Linked DNA regions of Daphnia pulex. The protein of the gene in region 1 interacts with the protein of each later gene in a pairwise test. Links are inferred from orthologs where the notes say so. Each region holds a gene or a part of one and is shown in the gene's direction. Other genes may lie near its edges.

The links. The genes of interacting proteins can lie anywhere in the genome.
Region 2: the proteins of calcium-activated potassium channel slowpoke-like (region 1) and alpha-catulin-like interact in a two-hybrid assay, tested with the Caenorhabditis elegans proteins (2 studies listed by BioGRID, with this or other methods). The link is inferred for Daphnia pulex from reciprocal best matches to the Caenorhabditis elegans genes slo-1 and ctn-1.

The regions. Positions count from the first base shown.
Region 1 is NC_060025.1:7,405,048-7,415,317, reverse strand, and holds the start of calcium-activated potassium channel slowpoke-like, read left to right. Parts: upstream 1-5,643; 5' UTR 5,644-6,477; coding exon 6,478-6,798; intron 6,799-10,270. Other genes in the region: protein alan shepard-like, read right to left, coding at 1,841-2,158, 2,233-2,328. UniProt on the Caenorhabditis elegans protein: Potassium channel activated by both membrane depolarization or increase in cytosolic Ca(2+) that mediates export of K(+). Its activation dampens the excitatory events that elevate the cytosolic Ca(2+) concentration and/or depolarize the cell membrane.
Region 2 is NC_060018.1:8,603,100-8,613,369, reverse strand, and holds the start of alpha-catulin-like, read left to right. Parts: upstream 1-3,473; 5' UTR 3,474-5,356; exon of another isoform or gene 5,357-5,419; 5' UTR 5,420-5,739; coding exon 5,740-5,967; intron 5,968-10,270. UniProt on the Caenorhabditis elegans protein: Required for slo-1 potassium ion channel clustering at presynaptic terminals and in egg-laying muscles; clustering of slo-1 mediates the intoxicating and sedatory effects of ethanol on worms.

The DNA.
Region 1 (10,270 bases):
CACTAGTCTAACTGGGATTAGATATAGAGGGCAGTTCCGACTCTCTCTCATACACACACTCACACACACACACACACAACACTCGAATTCACTTCTCAACCCCCACGGTCAAGTCATGTTGTTGTTGTTGTCTGTCAAAAATGTTGAGACCCAGGGCGAAACAACCGAGAAATAAGAAGTTGAAAACAAAACGAAACCAAACCAAAAAAACCACCAAAATTTCTTCTCCGGGAGTTTTAAGTGTTCGTGTTGGACTGACTCGGGCAGAGACGAAAAAGAAACGCGAACGGACGGGAGTGAGAAGGAGAGAGAGAGAAGAGAGAAACACGCACAAAATGGCCGCGTCTAATGTTGAATGTGTTGTCTGTTGTGAGAAAGGAGCGCTGCTTCGTGAGCAACGGACCGGACTCACGACAAACAAACTCACGAATGGCGACCTTTTAGACGAAAGGAAAGAGAAGAGGCGGGCAGAGCCACAGCGGCAGCAGCAGCTAGCCAACATGCACCAGTCCCGAAAATCTCCCCCCCTCTCGACGCCAACGCAGTGACATCTGGCGCTTGAGAAAAACAACTTTTCACGCCCCACCAACGACACACGAAATCTTTTTTTCTTTCTTTTCTATTTTTTCACGCTCGTAGTCGGAGAAGGACCACGACCTTGGGAAAAAGGAAATAATATTCATCACACACATTGTGTTACCCACCACCCCCACCACCCCCACCCCAACCACCTCCTCCCGCAAAAAAAATGAAAAACGGGACCACCTTTTCGGATGAAATAAAAATCGATATCTTATATAGAGAGACATGTAAATCCGGGAATGTGTGTGTGTGTCTTTTGTATACGCACAAGACGCCGTTCCGTGTCGATGATTTCACGAAGTAAAAAAAACGAACGAACGAACGAAAAAAAGCGGCGTAATACACACACAGACGCGACCTGGAGAGAAAAAGAGAGAGAGAGCCCCGGAGCGGTTGGACGCGGTCGAGTGATGGAGAGTTATTTTTTCGCCATTATCATGTTCTTTCGTCTTCTTCTTCTTTTACGTATTTTTATATTTCACTTGGAATAACAATGAAGGAAGGAGTAAAGGAAAAAAAGAAAAAGGATGAGCCAAAAAAATTCAAATCAGTTTTTTTTTTCTTTCTTTCTCCTTTTCGTTTCATTCCGTGTGTTCCCAAACCGAACGAACGAACGAACGGGAGAAAGAGAGAGAGAGAAGAGAGTTCACAGACCGGAAAAAAGCCTTAGGCGATTTTTTCTTTTTAGTTTTTTTTTCACGTTCTTTTTCTTCTTCACATTCGTCCAACATTTCAACTAGTCTTCCTTCGTTTCGCCTTCCGTGTGTGGTGCATGTGTGGGCCCTTCCTCGATTGGTTACACGAGAAATGTTTCCCCTTTTCCCCCCAGAAAAAAACAAACAAACAAAACAAAACGAGAAAAAATCATTTTTCTGTTGGTTTTGTTTTTCTTTTCTTTCTATGGACTGACAAAAAATAAAAGGAGTTGACTGATCGGCCATGACAATGGAACGTTGACATTCCATTTCCAAAAAAAAAAAAGAGAAAAATTTAGGAATGTCTAGCTCTCTAGTACAGTATAAACACAAGAGATAAAAAACCTGTTTCTACTTCCATGTTAATGAGCCCCATTTTATTGAGAGAATCTGAACATTTCCGAATTCCCTCGCCTGTTCTAAATTTGGTTTTGTTTTTTTTCAATTCCTTTACGAGTCATCGAGTTGTGTGTGTGTGTTAGTAACAGCGATTTCCGGTTAGAAAAAGGAATATAAAAATGGAGAGGAAGTGTTTCTGGGGGGGTTTTTGTCTTTTTTCTTACATTGCTGAAGGGTTCGGCACTATTGGCCCGGCTGGACGGAGTTGTTGAAGAAGAAGAAGCAGCAGCGAGCGACGTAGCCACCATGACCAGACCTCCTTCACCGCCGGAAGTGTTACTGCGGTTGATGGCCGTCCGGTGTTGTTGTTGTTGTTGGTGGCCGGCAGCCGCTGCTGCTGCTGCTGCTGATGGAAGATGATTCGAACCACCTGCTGGAGTTCTCTGGGCGACGACACGGTTGGACGACGATTTTTCACTGGTGGCTGCTGCTGCTGCTGCCGCCAAAGAGTCGGATGAACTCATATCAGTCGTTGCTTCCTTCTACAGAAAAGAAAATAAAGAAAAAGATTGAATGAGAGATTTAATTTTCGCCCAAAACAATTTGGATGGCATACCAAATGCGAGGAGGAGGATAACGTATCCAGGGATAAGGGATCAGCAACGGGGGGCGTGTCGATAGAGTGGGCGTCCACTTGGACAGATTGACTCATGACGTTTCTTGAGTCTCCACAGATGACTGACGGATGGTAGGGGGGAGGTGGAATGAGTTGGTGGGTGATGGAATAAAAAAAAAGGACGAAAAAGAGTTTTGTCGGGATTCACCAAAACGCCATAGTTCTTCGTCCTCTCACGTCCACTCCAGGTGGGAAATCCCACGTATGTGTGCACTTTCCGTTCTTCCGGCTCTTCTCCTTTTCAACTTTTTTTCTCTCAAGCTGGTCGACGAACCTCGTGCGTTTCTTTTTATAACTTTTTTTTTCTTTCGGACGGCGTCGAACTGGCGACGCACCAGGAAACAAGCCCCACACGCACGTGTCACTGTGTAGCTCTGGTAATTGGGTGTGGACGAAGCTGTCACACAAAATGCCAACCTGCTGGCGTTCCAGTGCTGCAGGGGCACACTCCAGTCAAATCGCAGTCTCACACAACAACAACAACCGCAGGCAGACTCTCACCAGGCTCTCGTGTTCATCTGCACACTTGGGATGGCCACACCAACGATGAGTTGTGATGTTGCAGATTTTGAGGCTGACTGACCGGCAGGGCAGGACACACAGGCACTAATTGGAAGTTGTTTGGGGAGTCGTCAGAACATGGACAGACGCACAACCAATGAGTCTCTCTGCAGCAGGAACAACTAAAAAGATAAAAAAAGACAATAAAACAAGAAGGAAATGAACACACCAATTGTCTAAATGGAATCGTCTGGCTGATCCAACCTGCTTTCAGGTTTCAAAGCAGATGAATGGCTTGATCTATTCGCTTTTGCACATCGACACAACTGCCAGCATTGGCATCCGTTTTCGATCGAACCGACACACTCGACGTCGACAACATTGACATGAAAACACGACAATTTTCAGAGCAAGTCTTCTTTTTTTGAAAGACACTGAATACACTGACAGTTTGGACAACACACACACAGCACCAAAGTGGGTGGGAACACACGTAGGTCCCGGTTTCCCCCTTAAGCTGTGTGCAACACACACACTCTACACACTGGTGTGTGTGTACGAAGAACTTTTGGGGTGAAGAAAAAGGGGGGAAAAAATCTAGTCAACTGGCCCACCGAGTTCTTCTCACCGAATGTGGGCCTACATAAACAAATCCTTTAGAGATTTTATTTTTATTTCGGCAGCGGAAATGGGCTCGAGTGTGTGTGTGTGCTAGATTGCACACATTCGTTGTGTGTGTGTGTGTAAATATACTGTTTGTGGGGTGGGGGGGAGAGGCGGGGACGGGTGACTTTGAGGCGGAAAAGGCTTTGAGAAAGAAACAACAAACATGCGCAAGAGACATCTAGCGGTGGTTTATAAAACTACGTCGACTTGGTTATTTCCCGCTGCACTTTTCGAACGCTATCTGTTTAGATTTTTATATGTGATTTCATGATTTGAAAGTTTTGCATGCGTTGCTTTGGCAACCTGAACTTTTATTAGAAGAACGAATATTTGGCAAGGACATCGAAATACATTTCGGATAACCGAATTAAAATAAATCCCCCCCCCCCAAAAAAAAACCCTTATTTCTTTGTAACGTCAATTAATAGACCTAAAAACTGAATGACTAAAATTAATCCGGGAATTATTTCTTACCTCGTTAAATCAATTAAATTTTGAAAAGTTTTCTGAACGGTAGATGGCGCAGGAATCGTGGCTGATTTCCCAACCGAAACGACAACAACAAAAAATGAGGAATCCACTTAAGGAATTTTTCCCCCGACACACACACACTCTTCTTGCTATTTCAAATCAGCAGCAATCTAATCTCGGTGATTAGAGAAATTCCAAAGGCAACAAAGTCGAACTGGAGAGAAAGAGAGCTAGTAGGAAACGAGAGCAATTTCTCATCTCAGTGTTGCGATCACAGAAACCTCCTAAAAAAAAAATACTTTGACTTCAATGACCCCCCTATCTATTCCGACACGCGTTCTATTATGTAGTTAATTATTTTTTAACGAATAAGGAAACAAGGAAAATAATGGGAGGCCCTTAGATTCTTCTGGTACTCGTCTGCTGTGAATGGACCAGTAATTCGGATTGCTAAACTCTCTGTTAATGAAAGCTGCATAATCGTCCGTAACGAGCCGGAGGGGGTGGGGGCACGGACTCCGGCATGTACTTGTCTCTTGTTGTCCAGCAGTCTAGCAGCTTGCCTCCAAATATTGATACGGAGAGCATCCGATAGCGTGCCTTAATTAATCTAAGTGTATTTCTAAGTTGGGTGTGCGTGTTCCCCCCTCTGTTTTACATGTCTCCCCCCCCCCCCCATATTAAGTGGATTGGGCCAATTAAATATGCAGTGCATTGATGACATCCATTATCATCGAATGCGGAACTAATTCCATCGGACACAGCCGCCAATCGAGTTTTGAAGTCGACAACTTTCAATAAGAAATGACCATGGCCCATCAATAGTATCGATCGGCATGTGTGCATAGATTCTAATGATCTAATGAATTGGTGGAATTAAAATGAAAGTCGAAGCGTTTTTCTCCGACTTTGACTACGTCGTCGGACCGAGTTTCTCGACACAGTCGATTGACAATACCAGGAAATGAAGAAGAGAGAATAGAAAATAAAAGTCAACTTATTGATCGACATGGCGTTGTGTGTTTTCAGCGACCTGGTCTACACACACACACACATATACTTTATACGTCACTGCGTCAGTCATTGAAATTATTGATCGACTCCTCGGTCCGCGGGACGCAACTGCTCCTGCTGGGAGAAGGACTCACCAAGTTTCTCTGTATATTATATGATCCAAAACATGACAAAATGTTAGATCCTTTCAATCAAGTCCGTTAGATGGATCTGCCAGTTGCCATCTCTCTCCTTTTTCTGCTCCCACCAACTTATATACCAAAAAGCTACCAGCGTGAAAGCTGAAAGAAAAGAAAAAAAGAACTTCACGTTCTAGTGTGCTGTGTGCCAGCCCAGGGACAAAGAAAAAAAAAAAAAAGTCCTGGGCAAAATACAAAAAAGAAAAGAAAAAGAAAAGAGAAGCCAGCAAAGCTACAAGAAGTTTTGGCCGGGTCTCGGCTGCTTGTGCCGAGAGAGTCTAGAGTCTAGAGTAGTAGTAGTATAGTAGTAGTAGTCGTCTATATAGTATATATAACATGTACAAGGGTTGAACTTCTTTCTCTTCGGGACCAATCGGGCCAGGCAGGGCTCCAGCCTATAAGATAACGGAACGCGGGAGTCAAAAGGGGTGGGATGGTAAGGACCCACCCACCTCCCGGTTTCCTCCCGGTTTCCTCCTATTTGCCCTCTCTCTGATGGGCACGGCGCGGAGATATTGAGCGCGGCCATGGTTGGGAACGGACGTGCGCGATCCCGGTGCGGCGGCGATGCGCGTCAGCCTGGCGACGGCGACGACGACGACGTCGAGCGGTGAGGAGATCCTTGGGTGTTTTTTTCCGCTCGCGGCTGCTCCTCACTCGACAAGTGCCGACTGCCACCGCCGGATCTTTTTCTGAGGTTGGCCGTCGCCCCCCTCGCGTTGCGTTCCCGATGTGCGGCTTCAGTGCAGTGCGAATTATTGGAACGCAGCAGTTGGTGAGAGCGACACACAAGACGAAGGAAAACGGCGGCAGCAGCGGCCGATCAAGTGGACATTATTCGCCTTGTTCCGTCCTACTCACCTACGGCCCAGCATTGTCGACGGTGCCGTCGCAACCAATCAGACAAGTGAGAAATCGACCGAGACCACATCATCAGCTGGACGTGATCGTTGCAATCCGTCGTAACAGTTTCGCCCTGTAGCTGCCGCCGATCCTCCCCCCCCCCCCCATTCAGCCCCCCCTTTTTTTGATTCCGGTGACGGCCAAGCTTCAACAAGAGCAGCCGTAGTCACGGGCTATAGGGCTGGGGGTTCCGGAAATTTTTTTTTTATTATATTTTTTTTTTTTTATTTGAAGTGAAAAATCCTATCGAAAAAAAAAAATTTGTGTTTGGGTTCAACTTTCCTGGAATTTTTTTTTTTTTTTTTAGTTTTTTTTAGTTTTTTTTTTAATTGAATTTGAATTTGGAAAAAGTCAAGTCAAATTTTTCAAAGTGGAGTTCACGCAAGATCAGCACGACCAACCGGACCACCACCACTTCGTCAGCCATCACCACACGAACCCACACCACAAGATGTCGGACGACGGCAAAGGTTACGTCCTCTCGCCGGAGGAGGAGGAATGCCTCAAGGACCGCAAGTGGTGGTGCTTCCTCCTGTCCAGCATCTTCACCTTCCTGGCCGGCCTCACGATCGTCCTCATCTGGCGCGGCCTGTCCATGATCTGCTGCCGTAAAGACGCTTCGCCCGAGTACAGCCAGAGTGACCTCAAGCAGCAGAACCTGCCCAAACCGCCGCGCCAAGCCAAGGAGGAGTTCGAAGGCACTTTCGTCACCGACGCCAAGGACTGGGCCGGCGAGCTCATCTCCGGACAGACCACCACTGGACGCATCCTGGTGAGTTTCTATCCATCCATCCAATCAAATAGATTCCATCAAATATAAGCCTATGATACAAACTATATTATACATGCGGAAATCATTTCGATGGGCTAAAGAAACGCGTGACTACTGCGATGGGTAGGGGGTCGATAGCGTGTCAAGGTAGTAGAGACGGCCAACTGTGTCGTCGGTGGTGGCCCATTGTCTTTGGCGTATAGATGAGGTCACGCGTCACGAGCACATCAGAGGGCAGACGAAAAAGCCCACTTGAATTCCCAGCGCTTTTCTCAGCATCAAATCCCGGCCACAGCAGAGATCGTGCTGGCGAATTATAGAAAATAAGGAGACCGACAAACCTTGTGTGTGTGTGCACAGCAGCAGCACAGCCAATATGTGTGTGTGAATGGAAAATCTAAGCACACAGCCAGTGGTGGTGGTGGTCGTGTATAGTAGGCCAAATAGTTTGGCTGATGAGGCAACCCGAGAATATATCCTCATCACACAGCACACACATCAGACCCATCACAAATATACAAAGAAAAATAAATCATCAATACACACACCAAGTTGTACAAGTCGCATTTGTTTTTGTTGATCTAAGAAATCAAGAAAAGAGCTATAGGGAAAATATATATCTAGGGGAAAAAACAGCATCCCAGGAAGATGTGGAGCACATCACAGCTCTAGAGCTCTCTCTCACCGAGTTGTGTATATTTCTTATTGATCGCCAGCCGGATCGATAATTCGTCTCTCTCTTGCCCGTGCGTTGCAACTCGCTGTGTGTCTGTGCTCAAGCTATAGAGATGCATGCGCCTGCTGGTGTGCTGGACTCGCTCTCTCCTCTCTTCTCTCTGTGTAATGTCTAATGTGTGCACGGGTCGGCCACAGTACCCCCCTCTAGATGTGAATTCATTCAAAAGAAAAAAGCCTAAAAGTGGATAGAATTTCGCTCGTCGGCCTTTCCATCATCTTGCAGCAGCAGTCTGGAGAAGAAGAAGAATTCTTGTCGAGGGATTTATTTGAGTAGTATTGGCACCTTCGTTGCTGGATGAGGGGCTTCTTCTTCTTTTGACTTTTCCCTTTTTTTGGAGGGGGGTCGTTGAGACGATGTGCGTTCTCTCCTTGTGCTGTGCGTTTAGTTTTATAGTTTCTCCCCTTTAGAGTATATAGACTCTATGTGTGGTGTGTCCCAATCAATACTGCGTCAGCTGTTTTACACACACACAGCACAGCACCAGCACATAAAACGCGTAGAGAGAGAGAGAGCTGGTTCCCGCCGTTATATACACATCGAGTCCGAAACGGGTGGCAAAATAAGAGACGAAAAATCATCGATAGCCGGGCGCTCAATATATAACGACGAAGAAACCAAACAAAACGGACACGGCGCGGGGCAATAATCAATGAAACTCTCTCTACAAAAAAAAGGTTTCCCCTCCAAAAAAGAAAAGGAAAAATATTTTTTTTTAGTTCCCATAATTTTCTCGGCAGCGCAAATTCAATTGAACACGAAGAAGAAGGAAGTTGCGATCTTAAAAAAAATAAAAATGGCGCCAGCCTATAGTGTCTGGCAATGAAATCAAGGAGCAGAGAAGACGCGCGAATATAAAAATGCCTAGCGCTTATTATTTCTCTCTCCTTCGAGTGTCGAATCAAATATCTAGATAGCTTTCCCCCCCCCCCTTTTTTTCCCCTCACTTTTCAACGTCTTTGATCTTTCTGTAAAGGCCCCAAAAATCCCCCCTTAACGATTTCGTATGATGTATCGCTATAGACTTAAATATAGGCCTCGATAGATATCCTACCAATAGTCTATTATTATTACATATTATATATGAAATCCAAGCCACATTTCCCCGCAAGTCTAAATGCCTATACATACTCTATATTACTGAATGGCGAAAATGATTACCGGTAGAAATTCCGGCATCTTCCCATCAAATCAGCTCGCACCACTCTGTCTCTTTTATATAAGTGACTCAAAGTTTATAGTCAAAAGCCTTTTTGTCATATAGAAAATAGCTTCTGATTATTATTGCTGTCAATTTTATGTATATTATTTCGACCCGGCGCTATGTATGTATGAGACACACACACACACAGAGAGAGCCCAACGGCCAGCATAGGCCAGCGCCAAAGAGAGAGAAAAGCGGTCGCGTCTGTGGGCCGCAAGCGCGACATCGATTGATCCGCGCGCGCCCAGCCCCGCCAGCGCATCTCCAGCAGCAGCACACACCGCTGCTGCCAGCACTGCTGCCGCGTCTGTTATATTATATCCTATACCGTTGGAAAAACGACGCGCAGCACGCGCGGAATCTTGTGCAACATTTTGCCGGGCTACGCGCAGCAGGAAAACAAAAAAGAGGCGGAGTGTATAATAGTAGTACAAGTGATGTGCTGGGCTGGCTGGCTGCCGGCCACAGCACAGTCCATATACTACTGCTGCCTACACGACGAACATGTAATAATAATCAAAAGAAATAGAAAGCTATAGGTCAATGCCGTCTCTCTATATAGCTATACATATACACTAAATACACGCGGTCGCCAAGACAACTGATGCCTTGGGCGGATCAAGAAATAATCAAAAAAATAAAAACAGCACACACAAGAGATTATATGTTGATCAAGTCTTTTCGGCGAGGTTGGGGGGGTTCGCCATAAGTCTATATACATTTGACGCGGTCGTGCTGATGTCTTGGCAGGAAGTGATGTAAGCATTTGTTAAGACTCTTTCCGCTGCTGTTATATAGCCAAGAGACTTGGGGGGGTATATAGGGCTTCGTCTGTGTCTATTATAATCTGGTGGCCAGAGTACTACTTTGATGCCGGGCATGCGGCACGGCATGTGGGCCAGCCAGTTGTGACTATATAGTCATCTATTGGAGTATATGTATATATATATTCGGGCACAATTTTGATATGTGTGGTGTGCTGCGGGGAAAACGAAGAAGAAGCCGTGTGTGCTGGATGTAGTCGACAGCAGGAGCCAGCGCAGCAGGGATGTATAGGCGGCCGGCCGTTATGAAATGCAGCACCAATCAATACCGCATATATAGTATACAGCCCGTCTGTGCGCAGCGCTCTCCGCTGCTGTCCTCCAAGAGCTGCTGCTGCTATGTATCCTATATCTAGGACTCTCCTACTTCCTCTAGATATTCGACATGTCATCGGTCGAGTGTGCTGTGGGCCGTCCAGCCTATAGAGAAAGAGTAGGATACATCAGCCAGTCGATCGTCCTCTTGGCACACGCCAACGTTCAACGTGTGCCACGTATAGATACTTTATGGTATAGAGCTGAATATTTCTGTCGATCGTTGAGACTATATAGATGTCCTTACATATATATGTGAACGAGCTTTATAAGAAACAGACGGGGCTATAGAAAAAAGAATAAGAAAGAAAAAAGAAATCCTTGGCTATCATCAACTGTGGATCAATAGATGGGGGGGAAACGAGAAATGCTGTATAATATAAAATACGTATA
Region 2 (10,270 bases), on another chromosome or scaffold:
GGATAACAACATTTTAAGAATAGAAAATATACATAAAAGAAATATTATAGCTACCTGGAGGGAAGCATTTTAAAATTTGTTTGACATCCAAAACCACCTGGTTGTAGTACTGATGATGCTGAATCTCTTCTGATGAAACTCCTGTTTCCTTTAACTGGTGTAACAATTTGGGTCTACCAACAATTTGATTCTTAACAAATAGACAGAATAAACAAACATTTTGTTATCAACATAAATGTTATCTTACGTCTACTTATAAAGAAAGAGAATATGTTACCCAAGACAAAATATTTTTCACAAACAACGCCTATTTTCACTTTTGAGACTCAATTAACCAGCAATTAACTCTTGTCTGACTTTTGGAAAAAAACAAACTGACAAGTTACAAGCAGACAACTCGAAACTGTTGATGTAATTTCCAGGCGCGTTCTTAAACCTGCAAACGCGTAAAAGTTTGTACGCAACCTGAACCTACGCAATAACGCAATCAATAAATGACGTTTCACTTTAATTCTCTAAATACAAAATAATAAAAGTGTTTACACCGTGTAAATACATAAGATAATAATTACTTAAGAAAATAGTTACTTGTGAGAATAATTACTTAAGAAAATAATTTCTTAAGAGAACAATTACTTAAGAATATAATTACTTAAGTCATTGCTAGTGACTTACGAACAATTGTACTAATAGAACCTATTATTTGTGAACATAATTTTAATAACTGGTGACCATAATTACTAGCGAGTATTTGACTAAATACACGTTGCATGAATTACTTAAAGCCCGAATTATTAAAAATTTTAAATACAACAGTCCATAATTACTTAAGAACAAAAATACTTGTGTCCTTAATTTCAATAAAACAAAATTTTGAAAGAGCTTGATACCATATTTACTAGTGAAAATAATTACTTGTATCCGGATCCCTAATTTATAAATTAAATCAAAAATTTATTTGATTATTGATTTAATTTTTGATTCATCTAAAATTTCTAAAAAATGATTTATGATTTTGATTCATAAATCAAAAAAATCGTGATTCAGCAAACACTGGTTATAATGGGAGGTGTCAAAGTGTATTTGGGGAAAATGGTCGCCTGCTTTTTTCTGTGAAAATTTCGGAAACTTATATAAATTTAATAAATATTAGAAAGAAAGCGATCTCGTTATAACGGATCGGTTGATTTTTTTTCTCATCAGGACACCAACGTAGCGTAAAACCCTATTACACTAACTTTTGATAACAAAAATCATCGTCTTGACAAAAAAGGATTTTACACCTAACGAAAAAATTCGCAAATTTTTTGTATTTTCAACATATTTATAATTTGTAGTTATATAATAAGTTGATATCGATCAAACAGACCAGCAACACATATCGCTTCTCGCTATATTTTCCCGGGGCTTGGAAAATATTTGAAAACCCAAACACCTCTATATTTACCAGCTTAATATGTAACTACACAACTCTTATGTTTGACGCGTCTGCTATTCATTCTCTTCAACTAGCTGGTTGAAGAGGACAAGAATAAGTCAGGGAAATGAGAAAGCCCGACAACGAGGCAAGGCCCGCCTTTTTTTGAAGCTAGATAAAACACACACATGCAACATCAGACTCTTATATAGTTTCGTTTGGATTCTATTTTGGTTCGAGAGCTTCACAGCAAGCACTATAAGCAGTAATGCGAAGAAAAGGAACCAAGGGATTCCCTGCTGTACTGAGCATGGTTTGCGATATGCGTCATAATTTACGTCAACACGGAATATACCAAATAATAAGCCAATTTCGATCATGGATTTCTTAGTGTAAATGTGTTCACCAAAATGTATTTTGCGTCTTCCTTTTTTTAAGAGTTTCCTCGAAATCTCGTAGAAAGGGAAAATAAGAGAGGGTAAATAAAACGAAGCAGGTCTTACACAGACGTGGAAATTTATGCGGAAATAAAGTGTTGCGTCGTATTAACCCTTAAACTGGAAGTCGGAAAGGTGAGTATACCAGTATAAGCTTCCCATTTTTACGACTAAATCAGTCGGTCGTGTCTCCAGTCTTCGCCAAAACTTTTAGAGAGCGAATCTTTCGATAATTTCTTGCCCACATAATATTTGAACTAAGTGAATAACTATTTTGTAACGCTATTTACACTTGAATCCGTATAATTACACCAATTACTAAGTTTCTATGTAATGGAGCTTTTCCCAGGAATTGAATTCAAGTTATGTAGGACGTTATTTGATTTCTCGCTCTGAAACAAAGTTGAGAGTTGCAGATGAGTCGACTAGGCTGCAGTTTGCGCCTGCCTGTAACTTACGATGGTACAGCAGAGCAGAGCGACTGTCAGACTCGAGACTCGAGATGCAGCATGATATCTCAAATGGTAATGCAGAACAAATATACCATAACGGATGTCTCTCCATATACGCAGGACGCCAACCTAATTAGAAGAAAGGGGTTTTCAATGAATTATAGTTCATGAGTAGTAAGACTTTTTTGTATTATTATTTGTAACGTTTATTGATGATGGCGGTGGGGGGGGGGATTCCAAAAGGGTATACAGGCGAGAATCTTCGGTGCGATTTGTGAACCATAAGAATATTGGCTCCATAACCGCACACAATGGTATACATATTTAGATCAAGAGGGCTGGGCTATTCATTCGTATGACTTGAGGAGGGAGGTTTGGGAGGAGAGAGAGAGAGAGAGAGATGTACAGTAGGCAACAGTGTCTGACTAAGATAAGAGGCGAAACCAGAAGCGGGAGCTAATACGAGTTCACGCTCGGCTTTGCGAAGCTGGCTAGATGGAGTGGCTGCACGTCGTCGTTCGTTCAACGCCCGTGCCCAGGCTAAAATAGCATCAAATACATAAAGCGAGTTTTGCTCGGCCCCGGCATATTGTACATGTACATATGCGACTCTCTCTCTCTCACTCTTCTCTTTTTTTTCCCGCGTGCATCAGTGGAAGAAAGAGAGAGAGAGGCAGCTGAAGAGAAAAAGAGACGGGCCATAGGACTCGACTCGTCATGAGAACGACGTGGGCGTGTGTAATGTACACAAGAGAAGAAACCTAAAAGAAAAATTTCTCTCTTCCAACCATCCAACCAACCAACCAACCTCCCAAATCCAAACTCTTCCAACTCCCGCGATCCCGACACCCGGCCCCCCTCTCCCATTCCACCCACTCTTCTCTCCTAAAAAAGAATGGGAAAAATACTTTGCCATTATCAAGGAAGCCAAAAAGAGGAGGAATCAAAGGGGGCTGGGTGGGAGGAGGACAAGGTGTGGGGAGGGAGAATCGGTGGGAGTTGTACGAACGGGAATGTCTGAGGAGAAGGACCAAAACATGCATTGAACGCCAAACCGACTGGCTCTCTCTCTCTTTCTCTCTTTTTCTTTTTTTTTTCGTTTTTATTTTATTTTTCATTTTTTTTTTCGTTCGTAGCAGAGTTGAAGAGACTTAGAGCAGCTGCAGAGGACGAGGAACCATGACTGGCTTCTGTGGAGAAGGAAGAGCGTCAGAACTGGGAAACTCGTCGTGAGCGGTCGTGAGTGGAGATCAGTATAGAGAGAGACTGTCACCGAAGTCGTCGTCGTCAGTCGCTGCGTGCTGTGCTGCTTCGACGTTTGTTTGGGCTGGGCTGCTGCTGCGACGAGTGCTACTAGGCTACTAGTGCCGCTGCTACCACACTGCTTCATCAGTATACATCAGGAGGGATATACGGCACTGCCAGGGGCTTGATGTTGCTCATTCGGCGTCGAGTTTCCGTCGAAAGTGGCGGTGAAAGCGGCCGGCCGCAGGAACGTGCCAAAGCTCCTTCTCCCGACACCAGCAGTGCTGTGGTTCATTCCTTTATCGAGCTGGGTATTTCGGGAAAGGCCAGAAAGCGAGAAAAGGAAGCCCCAAGGAAACAACAAGGACAACAATAACAAAAGGCAAGACAAAGTCGCGCAGAGAGAAGAGAGAGAGAGAGAGAGAAGAGGCCAACGCACAGCAAGAAAAAAGCCCGGCACTACACAAATCAAAAACAAACCGTCGGCAGGAGACAGTCGGCCGAGACTCGAGAAAAACTATCCAGCAAAGTGTTGAACGCCTTAGTACCTCTAGACGCCTAGTAGGAGCCGCCACGCGTGTGTCGTCTTCCAGTGCGACAACAACAAACGAGAAATCCAGCACCTTCGGCTGGGAAACTAATAGCCGACATTGACTGCTCCTGTGGTGTGTAGAATCAGTAGAGTGTGATGTTGGGTTGCTGCTGGCTGTAGAAACGCTGTATAGCACGCTGTTGCTGGAAGTTTGGACTATTGGTTTTCTCCGCAATAACTCTGATTGAATTTCGAAACTATATCTTGTGAGTTAGGCATCTGACGACAGGGCGACAGCAGTGACACAATGCAGAGAAAAAGAGAAAGAGCCAGATGAGGAATTCCTTGGTGAGTGCGCATGATGATGGAGGGACGGATCGTCTACGCGACGGGAGAAGAGAGGCGGTGTGTCTAGATTCTTTTGATGCCAAACTGAATTATAACGACCCTAATTTCGAGGTCGTCCGCCAGTAATCCAATCGCAGGGAAAGCAGTGCCCCCCCCTCCCCCTCTCTCACGTCAGCTGATATCGACAAGTGAAAAAGTTTAATCTATTGACGTTTTTTTAATGATTTCAGTGAAAACTTGCGAATTTACATGTGAAATCGAGTGCCTTGGTTGCGTAAGTGATGTGTATCGGAATGTGCGCTGTGTTTCTCTAGCTCTGTTTCTGGTGCGGTCATCTCGACCCTATATCTGTCGGCTCCTTAAAGCAGTAGCACTCGGGTCAAAGAAAACGGGACAATACACCAAGTGGATGGACACTTATCCTTGCTGTGCAGTAAGCTTACGCACACACGTCTGCATTCTTCACGTCTGTAGACGCCGAGCCGACAATCAGCTGGACTATGGATTGCTGTTGCTGGTGGGTGCCACCGGTCCCGATCGATATATAGATAGACCATGTGCTGCCCTCTTTCTATACATTCGCCAGCTGGCGAGACACACGACACCCTTCCGAATGAGTGACCGCTCATGTAAGGAGATATACAGGCAAAGAGGAAGGGAAAAAAAAAACCTCGGGAAAGTCAAGCAGATAAAGACAGGCCTAAAAGAGTCAGCAATAGAGAAAAAAAATGAATAAGGAAGTACACAAAAAAAGGAGCGGGAAAAAAATGCTAAAGTGAAAGGGAAAACAGCCGACGACGACTTATAAATTCTCCCGTGTACAATATAAGGACGGCGCAGAGAAAATCACGTTGCAGCAGCGCCATTGGGAGCTCCCGACAAGAGATTGGCACATTCAACCTGAAGAAATTCGACGTTTGACCGTGTGAGTTATTACTTATTAGGAGCTGATGCGAGTTGAATTTGATTTAAAGATTGACGTCATAAGGGGGGAGTAGTCCCAGCCAGTTGGAGCGCATCGAACCAGGAATCCTGTACGAATCGGCCATAGGCTGGCTCTACATAGGCGCCGATGATGCGGGAGGAAAAGGAGCGGAAGAGGATGAACGTGCAATCGTTAAGGATCGCGCTGTCTGTTCGACTTGAGTTCGAGTTGGGGTTCGACCGTTGTCTGCTCAAGTGGTAGCGCCGCTTTGCTAAACAACGGCCAGTGTTGGACAGTGAATGCGGTCATCGTCCGACAAAGGGATTTATGTGTGTTGAATTCGTGCAGACGCCAGAGAACTCGAGGACTGGCTAGTTAAAGCGATGGCAACTTCAATGGCCTGCACGTCTGCAACGGCCACCAGTGCTGCTTCTGTTGCCACATCATCATCCTCGTCGTTATTATCCGCCGCCGCCGTGACCTCGTCCAATAATGCCTCGGCTGGCCATAGTTTGTCGTTCGCCAGCCACAGCCCTCGCCCGCCCGAGCTGCACAGCCTTCGCATCCACACCAAGAGTATCGAACAAACTCTCATACCGCTCGTCACGCAGGTAGGCGAAAACGCAATCGCTAGACGCAGAAGCTTCTATATATATCTATACTTTAGCACTATAGGCATAAACCATGAGTCGATATATACGTACGGCTGTGCACTTTCGCATGCATTCGGTCTCCTATGTGTAATGACATCGTGCCATTTCCGACGAGAGAACACAGTTCAATATACACGCCCACGATGAACCGTCTCATCCTATATAATTCAGCTGGTGCCAGCATTCACCTGCTGGTCGGAGGCCTCCTCCTTTTCTCTCGTTCACCTCCCTTTTGGAGTCTAGCCGATGGGCTTTTCCTCGATTTGTCATGGCCATGTCGACAATATTCCGGGTAGTATGAGGCTGTGTGACGGACATTATTTATCATCGATTCGAAATTTAGGCGATGGGCAAGTTTCTCGAAGGGCCGGCCCGAGTGGCGAAATCCGGCGAAATGGAAGTTCATATAGATCTAACATCCAAGCGCCCGTCTGTCTGTGTCTACGTATATACGTGTATATACGCCTAGTCTGCACTCGTGTGAAAGTTCTATATAATTCTATATGTATATTGCATGTCTTGTAATATTATTACGCCCGCAACCATACCGAATCACCGAATCTGGTGTGCAGCGGGGAAAAAGGAAGATTTCTCATTGATCCTTGGGTTATATATACGAAGTCGAATAAGCTATCAGGGATGAAGCGCATGCCGAGTACGAAAGAGCAATAGGTCGAGCTTCCTGCAGTAAGCAGGTATATTGCACCAATTTCGTCCGACGATTTTATGGCATTTCGCGAATTGGAGTTAACACCAATTTACAGCCGTAGGTTTGCCCATAGACCACTATGTATAGAACTATGATTTCGTAAGGAGTCTCAGAAGTTTGATCCCTTTAGCTTAAGCCCATTACCAAATCGAAAATTTATTTTGTGTGCAGTAGGTTTCTGTGCTGATATTTGACTGAAACATTACTGATGTGCATTCAAAAATCATACATAATTCTTGATTACCAATTGCGTGACTGAAAATCATAGAAGCCAAAACATTAGTAATTACGTTTAGGATACAAGAGAATAGGCTACATATAAGATGTAAGAAACTGACCAAGATAAGATCTATAGAAAACCGCTGTCTCGGACTGGCAGCGACTCTTTGAAGGCTAGTCTTATTGAGATTGCAATGCGCTCGTCTTACTTTATTCGTGATCGATTGTACTATCGAGCTTAGAGAAAAGGATATATGGTACATTGGCTGGCAATGGATTAATTTCCTTAGAGAGTCTTGGTCTTTTGAACAAGTCACAGCAAAGGGACGGTCGGCAGCACTTCACGCCGCTCTTCGCTGGCGGTGCTATACGGGAACGGGCATCCATAAGGTGGAACAGGCGGGATTCTCTTCGCCGAAAGATATTTATAGTCATTCAGCCGCACGCTCTTTTTCGAAATCAAATATTTCTTTCTCTTTGAAACGTAGATTGCAGCAGAGCGTTTCGTACAAAACCAGTAGGCAGCAGCACAGCACTCATAATTAACTGAATGCGTTCTACTACTTTTGTAGTTTTCCTCTATTAGTTTCACTCGGTTTCACTCTTGTTCTGAAAGGAGTTGAACCAATTTAGTTACTTGTTTCCGTGGTAACTTTGGAGCTTCATCTTGCAGTTAATCATTTCAAAGGGTATAGTTCGAGACAAAACTTGTTTTTTTTTTTCTTTACTTGCTTTTTGATGACTTATTCACTCTTATTCACTTTAATCCATGTTGTATGGCAGGGCGTCTAGCGTCAACCAAGATCGTCGCTATAACAGCGCATGGCGATCTTGTTTTCGCTCACTCGCAATATACTGCATTACGTACACGAAATAAAAACAAAATAAAATACCGCGTTACGGCGCAGGCTTCAGACAACGTACGTTCTTCGAATTTCAAATTCGTATACATGCCGTATTTCAGTATTTCTCATTAAGCGTAGCATTATGATATTTGCCGTGTTAGCCGAATCCACAATATTTATCGCAATAATAAATAAAAAAAACGATGATTTCATTGATGTCATTACGGAAAGATTAGTAGGGTCAACAAATGCACTGCTTTGCAGACCGCCAATAACCTAGACCTGTGCTTTGAAATCATATTTGCCGTTCTACAATTTTCATACATATTAAGTCTTGGGCGCTATTTCGGATTTGCAGCCTATTTGCGCATTTATGGTGCATTGCTGCAATGTAAACTTGTTTCAGAAAAGAATATTAACCGAAAAAAAAACTCAGTCCTTGAGCTATTCAACAGCCAGCTGAAGCAACAGCGAACCATCACACGTACCAATTACCGCAACAGCTAACGCTAACCTTTATCGATCGAGCAAGCAGTAGCCTGCGGTGCTGCGAGAACCACCAAACTTCTATCAGTCCATCACACTACAGAAACGGTATGACAGCACGGTATAGCCGATGGCGTGAGCGTGAAATCGTACAAACCACCTAGCCTTTATACTAACCAACTTTTCTCATTGTCCGGAGGTCTGAGGCTCGGGTAAGTTTGAACGGTTATTCCGGTATTGCTGCGCTAAGGCAAAGATGGCTCTATTTACTTTGTTGAATTGCAAAGATGATTCAAACATGAAAATATGAAACTATAGTGAGGTTAGTTTCCTTGCTACTGTGGTTAAATTCTTCTATACTTTCTTTTATTTAGGCCTACATCACACAGGAAAAAAATTACTAATTATACAACAGCTTTTTTATTTATTATTTTTTATTTTAATGTTTAGCTATCTTATGCTTTAAACGGCTAGGATTGTTCAGAAATAGCATAGAAAAATTCCGACATCTTCTTTGTTACGTATCTGAGATATTATAGGCTACTTAAGATTTTCCTTTTACCTTACATATTTGTTTATTCTTTTGCGCTCATACCTCCCTTTGTTTTTAATTTCTCACATTTCTTAAACAATGTGATAAATCGACTGTAAACATCGAAACACTCTCAAGCGCGCGTGCGCTCATACATAAGGATACATGCATTCGCGAGAATATGCATGTGGACTAGAGACAAACACTTATGATGAGTACCTTCTGTCTCGAGCGAGTTTTTTTTTTATTTTTCGATTTTTTTAAATAAAAACAGGCGGACAGGCATTATTTTTGTGAGACTTAGACCTAAACTTAATTGTGTTGCCTACAGCAGTTTCTGATCCATCAGTCTGATCCATCCAGATGATGCTGCCAGATGTCGTCTCAAGTTTTGCTATTTTCGCTATGAGGAATGCAGTCTGGTCTGGCACTGTTTCATATTATTACTTTGGAGTTTAGGGTCTACCAACATTGTGTAGTTATCAGTTATCTCCCTGAAACTTCTCATCAGCCCTGCTGTCTGCCCCGGCTTACTCTTAAAAATTGCCATAGCCGACAGAAGCCCATTCGAGTTATCGCTCTCGGACTCGGAGATTCTGCTTGTTTCAGTCGACCCTTTTAGGTGCGTTTAGGCCTTATTTCAACCTATTTATAGAGCTTATTCCCCCATACTTAACCGGGGAAAAAACAGAGAAAGCAACTTGAACGTGCAACCTGTTTCCTTTTTACTAGTTTTTCGTCAGAATCACCTCCTACACCAAAACTCTAGCAGAGAGCTTTAATGTTCACAATTCATCCTACTCGGAAGTTCCATTATGCCTATGATGTGGTTGGTGTGGTGTATCTCTTTCTCTATATAGAAGGGGCACTATCTTGAACCGTGCATCATCTGAACGTTACTTGAACTACTTGTATAGACATTTATCGATATTTGCTATCTTCTTTAGAACCCATATGCGCCTTTATGTTCGGTGCAGAACCGCGCATCGTGTAGGAGAGATTTAAAGCACCCCTAAGTCGGCAAATATTAGTCGGTCTTTAGGCCATACCTTCTTGAGAATACTATACATCCCCTTAAAATGTAATAAAAAGGAAAATTTGAATAAAAATAGAGATTGATATTTCCCAGCATGGAAGAACTAATTACGGAACAACGAGACAAGTTCAATAATGGGATTATTTTGAGTAATTAAACATTACAGTTTCAATTTAATTGGTTAAGAATTGGATTAAGAAAGTTTTAAATACAATTTTATTCGGTTCGTGCCACTACTAGGCTACCAGAAGAAAGATAGTAGAACGGTGGTCAAAATTACTAAATTCTAAATTGTAATTAAGATATTCTGACACTAGAACAAATGAATTAAAACAAAAAAGTACCTACCGAAAGTCTTTGGAAGCCCGAGAGGACCTTATGCAAAAACGCTGTTTTTGCAGTCCTCTCAGTACTATAGTTTTTAACCAAATGCT